2 linked regions of the Daphnia pulex genome follow. The protein of the gene in region 1 purifies or fractionates together with the protein of each later gene. This does not show direct contact. Links are inferred from orthologs where the notes say so. Each region holds a gene or a part of one and is shown in the gene's direction. Other genes may lie near its edges.

Region 1 (2,646 bases):
TATGTCGATCACGTCTTTCCCTACTTCTCTCTCGTTCACGTTCTTTATCCCTATTACGACGAGAACGTTCCCGTTCTCGATCACTGTCCTGCTTTGAACGCGATGTAGTAGGAGGGGGCGACAACGAACCTCCTTTCCTTTCACCCTCTTCTTCTTCACTTTCTGAATCTTCTTCCTCCAAGTCTTCTTCCAAAGCTGATACTCTCGGCTCAACTTCATTAGCTTCTTCCAGAATTTGACGTTTCTGAAAGTAAAATAAACCGTATTTAATCAGTATTTTTTAGGTTGAATACTAATTCACATTTATACCTGAAGTCTGGGCAGGATAACATCACAAAAACGCTCTTCTCTCAGTAAACTATCAATGAAATCATCCATGTAAAGAAGCTCAAAATCTAAATAAAACCACATGTTAATTTGCAGTATTCTTTTTAAAAATATCTTATTTTTATTATTACTTCCTTCCTTGTTTTGAAACCGAATTTTTCTGTAATCATTGTAAAGTGGTTCTAAATATTTATAGATTTCCACAGATGTTCCAACAAGTCTCATGTAGAATGCTCCCAAGGCACGGACATATCTATAATGATACATTATATTAGGTGATTTCCTGTATAACTTGTCTGTTTTGGTCAAAGAACTTACTTGAAATCTTCATTTTTTATAAACTCCACTACAATGTCCTTTTCTGGTTGGATTTGAAGCATTTTTAGTGTAAGTGAGAGAAATGGAGTAGGTTTAACATTACCACCAAATATTCCACCAATGTACCTTAATTCCATGGCCTTATCCACCATCAACTCAGCTAAAAAAATACATATACATAAATAAAATGAGTGCATCAAAACACAAGTAAAATTTTCAATATACCTGTCAAAGCAAAGCATTCTTCTTTCCAGTACTTTGAATCATAAATTCGAGTTCTAATAATCTTTTCAACCAAGTATTGAGGATTTGTTCCTTTAACAGAAATTGCCTCTTTGATTGTTCGATTAGCCATTTTGAATTAATCTAAAACACTAGATGTGTACAGTCAAAAGAATAATCATTGAAATTTAACTGTGTTGATAAAAAGTAAAACTTTGTCGGCATTAGCAACGGAACGACAGAACGACGCTTGAATCCGTCGTCTGCTACGGACAGACAGAGACATCAAGTGGTCAAGTGGGTGGGGCGATCAATTCATCAATTGAAAAGAAAATTTTATCGTTATTTAGTTTACTTTTATGAAATATTTTTATATTTTTAACAAATCAATCACTTAAGTTATTTAAGATTTTTCAAACTAAATTTTTTAAACTGACCTGTCTGTTCTGAGAGAAGAGTCTTCATTTTTTTCTGTAGCTTTTCCGTTTGTTTTTCGCCTGCTAAACATTCCAGTATACTACCTTGATACTACTACAGACGTAAATCATCACGTAATCATTTTGAATCTATCTCGCCACGGTTATGGCAAAATATTTGGCCCAAATAATTGTTATGGGGGGCCAGGTTATTGGGCGAGCGTTTGCTAGAGCTCTTAAACAAGAATATCAAGCTAGCCAGGAAGCTGCCAAAAGAGCTGGTGGTGGGAAAGCCGGCGCATCACGTGTAGAAGCTAACTTCAAGGTTTGTTTGTTACACACAAAAGTTATGTAATATCAGTAAATTTTAAAAAGTTAACATGTTTTTTTTTTCATTCTGTAGACAGGCATGACCCTTGAGGAAGCAAAAGAAATCTTGAATGTGGATAAATTAGAACCTGAGTTGGTGCAGAAGAACTATGATCACTTGTTCCAAGTTAATGACAAGACGAAAGGTGGTTCATTCTACCTTCAATCTAAAGTATACAGAGCTAAAGAACGACTTGACCAAGAAATGAAACATGAAACAAAAAAACAAGAACCGTCAAAAGAAAATAAAATGTAACCTTCTCCAAAACGACAGTTAAGGTTATGGAAATTATCTGGAATTTATCTTTGTAGTCAAATTGAAAAATTGTACATATAGGGATAACTAATAAAAATCATTTTTTATAACCTTTTTTATTCTAATATTATAGAATCCTTATGCATATTTTTTTATTGTGATGTGATGTATAAACATTTTTTCAGGTATGATTTTAATTTAGTAGGCTTTGTTCTTACCTTTATATTTGAATCATATATTTTAGTGAAAACTTTAATCTTAACACAACTTGTGATTGCTGCAAATTTATTTCACTATACATTTACCAAGCTCATTTAATTATTTGTTTTATATGCATTAGGCCTTCTATAGCAAACACGGTTTTTACCAGTTTTTACAATGACTGACGACGACAATCAATATGGTATCCGTTAGAATGTAATTTATTACAGAATCTGGCAAACCGCTCATTCAAATATTTATAGAACCTTTTTACAAATATAATCTTTACATTTTATAAATATTAAAAACTGACATTTTATCTTCTAAACAATGTTGACTTTAGAACTTTTACTCTTTAAACTGATTTTTCGGCGCCAATAGGTGGAGGAAGATTTGCGCTTGTTTGTGTCAACAGATCGTAGTCACCTTGCCTGTGGTTCGTTTCCCGTTCGTTGCTGCCGCTACAACAGTTTAAAACAAAAGAAGAACTGAAACTCTTTTTAGTGCACATCATGTAAATCGTTAAAGCCATCACGA
Region 2 (3,063 bases), on another chromosome or scaffold:
AAAACACACAATAAGAAAACTTTCTTTCCAGCATGAAATGTAGCTCATTACCTGTAGGCTTTAACAATTTCTCGTTTGTTGGCGTTCTTTTTCACACCGAGTATTTTATAATAATCACGTTTCTTTGCTTGTTTTTGAAGTTTCTGAACTTTTTGCATTCCTTCCTTTGCTCTATTGAATGATTCTTCGATTTCTAATGCCTAAAGATAAGGTGCTTGATGATTAATCCAAGACATCAATATATCAATATGTTAATTAATAATTTACCTTAGCATAATCTTGTTGAGCCTCGTCGAGCATATCAAGAGCAATGTAATCTTCAGCTCTGTCGCACAATATCCTCGGCTCTGTGTGCCGAGCTAAAGCTGAAGAGCAGAACTCGAGACTTTCCGAGTGTTCACCTAGTTGAAGATGGCAATGGCAAAGTTTATCTTCAGCCAAAAATAATAATTCTGATACGGTGGGATCCACTTTCAGGACCTATATGAATGGTTACATTGTTATTTATTGTGGAATTTAATAATTCAAAGGAAAATACTTTTTTAGCTGAAGTGATGCATCCTTGGTAGTTGTTGTCATTAGAGTTAGTTTGCAGATCCTGCACAAGCTTTGCCACTTTCTTGACTTTCTTGTAATGAGGAAAGCACTCCTTGTGTTCAGGATCAAGTTTCAAACATTCCCTAACTTGGCTGTAGAAAAAATAATTTAAGGTAAGCAACTTGTATCATATTGACAATATTATGCAGAACAAAACAAAAAACACAAGAATAATTACTTTAGAGACTCTTCTGGTTCTCCTAAGCCATAATACAGTTTAGAAAGCTTCATGAAAGCGCCGGTATTATCGGACATCAATTTGGTAGCTGCTTTTAAATCTGAAATAGCCTTTGATGCCTCTCCAATAGCTAGATAACACTCTGAGCGCATCTCTCGCAAACCAATATCCCAAGGGCAAATCTAAAGAAAGAAAATGTTAGCATAGTAGCAAGAAATCATTTGCAAGAAAGTTTATAAAAACATACATCAATAACTTGGGTTAAGAGATCAATGGCATGGTGGTAATCCTTGTCACTGAAAAACATTTGAGCTTGCATGTAACTCTTCTTCAATGATTCAATTGCTATGTAATTTTTGTTGACTTCACTATTTGTTGGTTCCTTTTTAAGCTGTGAAAGATAGACATATAGGAAATATTTTTTAATTAACTTGACCATAATAACATGTATACTTACAACTTTTTCCAACTCAATATGTGCCTCATGCAAACGCCCAAGCTTCATTAGGATATTTCCCTTCTGAGCTCTGGCTTGAATGAAATCTGGTTGGATTTCAAGAACACGATTCAAATCTTCTAATGCAGCTCTTGCTCTTCCCTGGGCAAGATATACAGTAGCTCTTCTGTATAATGTTAAGTAGTTAGAAGGATCTCCTTCTAGAGCTGCATGGAAATGGGTGAGTGCATCTTGGAGTTGGCCCTTAGCCATCATTAATTTACCAAGCTCTAAATGCTTTTCAATTTCCGAGGGATTGGCGTTTCCGTGAACTGTATAATGAAAAATAAATACATAAGACGTTTGAATCACAAGGACAATTTACATGAGTTGAAGAAACCGGCTTGTACCTTCGATGATTCCGATGCTAACGAGACAAATTAAGATTGAATACATTTGTCTTGAATGTGGGCCCCAATCAGCCATTTTTAAAGTTATCATTCTATTTTTTAAACTTAAGAGCTTTAAGAAGCCACAAGGATCACTTCAGACTGATAATAGAATAATCGTCTGTGATGTGGCCCAATCAGAAGACATTACGTGACAAACAAAGCCATCTGTTGTTTAGAATTTCAAGCTCGTGGGTAGATATTGAGTAACAGAGCAGACAACATTACAAAAACGTGACGAAACCTCTTGTCCTCCGAACGAAAAAATGGTAATATTTCAAAGTAAATTTTATTGTGTATAGTGAAACTAAAGTTTTGCTATTAATGTCTACTATGTAATTCAGTCAACAGCGATAGTTGTTGGTCTTGGACTGGCTGCTGTCGGATTTGCTGGTCGCACACTGCTTCGATCTGCTCCCACAATGACGACGAAGTTTAACGAAATACTCAAGCAGTTTCCTATGGATACTGAGGTATTAGATAGAATTAATTGTAAATGTTGATATTTTTCTACTTATGGTAATGTTCTTATTATCATTTTTTCAAATATTTTTTGTAGTCTCTTCTTGGAAGCAAGTACTACAAAGGTGGTTTTGATGCCAAAATGTCCAAAAGAGAAGCATCTTTAATACTTGGTGTATCACCAACAGCCAACAAAATCAGAGTGAAAGAAGCCCATAAAAGAATAATGCTTGCAAATCACCCAGATAGAGGTGGCTCACCATATTTAGCAGCTAAGATAAATGAAGCAAAAGATTTCATGGATAATTTGAAATAAAACATCTTTTGTGCAGGGGAGAACTATAGATTTCATTGTAAATAATCTAACTTTAGTAACATTTGTTCAAATAAAAGAGTCAACAGCTTCAATAATTGTATGTTTTGTATAATCAATTATTATTCATTTAGACAATTTGCAATTTGGAGGATGAATGTAGTTTGTTTGCTGTTCAGGTAAAATTACTATGATTGATTCAGCTAGTATATTTTACAACTTTTTCCAACATACTCATAAAGATGTAGAAAACAAAAATTAAAATATTACATTTCACTAGGAACACATAAAGAGAAACAAAACGGGCCCACGGGGAGATACCAAATGCCCGAGGCTATAAATCGGTACCGTTTGATTTGGCAACATTGTTCCATCTTTTCTTAGCAGTTAACAGACGAAAATACGTTTTTCAACATTATTGTCCTGTCGCTCTTGGATTCTTTCTCCAACTCAAGAGTCTTAAGAATTGTTGAGGAAACACCAATAGTGTTTTCAAATAAGGCTCATTTGTTAATTAACTACAGTCAGTTAAAGTTTATACTTCACGGTGATTAAAATGAAGCCAAATGTAGTTGTTGATGAAATGTTTCCTGAAGGTTAGTAGTCCACCATTCACCATCGTGATTAA

The links.
Region 2: the proteins of mitochondrial import inner membrane translocase subunit Tim16-like (region 1) and mitochondrial import inner membrane translocase subunit TIM14-like purify together in Homo sapiens (affinity purification with mass spectrometry; 3 studies listed by BioGRID and IntAct, with this or other methods). This does not show direct contact. The link is inferred for Daphnia pulex from reciprocal best matches to the Homo sapiens genes PAM16 and DNAJC19.

Annotation. Positions count from the first base shown.
Region 1 is NC_060022.1:2,882,562-2,885,207, reverse strand, and holds mitochondrial import inner membrane translocase subunit Tim16-like, read left to right. Parts: upstream 1-1,360; 5' UTR 1,361-1,449; coding exon 1,450-1,608; intron 1,609-1,686; coding exon 1,687-1,908; 3' UTR 1,909-2,018; downstream 2,019-2,646. Other genes in the region: pre-mRNA-splicing factor 38A-like, read right to left, coding at 1-244, 310-395, 459-580, 646-805, 871-1,000; furin-like protease 1, read right to left, coding at 2,465-2,646. UniProt on the Homo sapiens protein: Regulates ATP-dependent protein translocation into the mitochondrial matrix. Inhibits DNAJC19 stimulation of HSPA9/Mortalin ATPase activity.
Region 2 is NC_060023.1:5,722,512-5,725,574, reverse strand, and holds mitochondrial import inner membrane translocase subunit TIM14-like, read left to right. Parts: upstream 1-1,794; 5' UTR 1,795-1,926; coding exon 1,927-1,929; intron 1,930-2,004; coding exon 2,005-2,133; intron 2,134-2,219; coding exon 2,220-2,438; 3' UTR 2,439-2,530; downstream 2,531-3,063. Other genes in the region: dnaJ homolog subfamily C member 3-like, read right to left, coding at 52-200, 268-480, 539-689, 776-957, 1,023-1,166, 1,233-1,543, 1,622-1,712. UniProt on the Homo sapiens protein: Mitochondrial co-chaperone which forms a complex with prohibitins to regulate cardiolipin remodeling.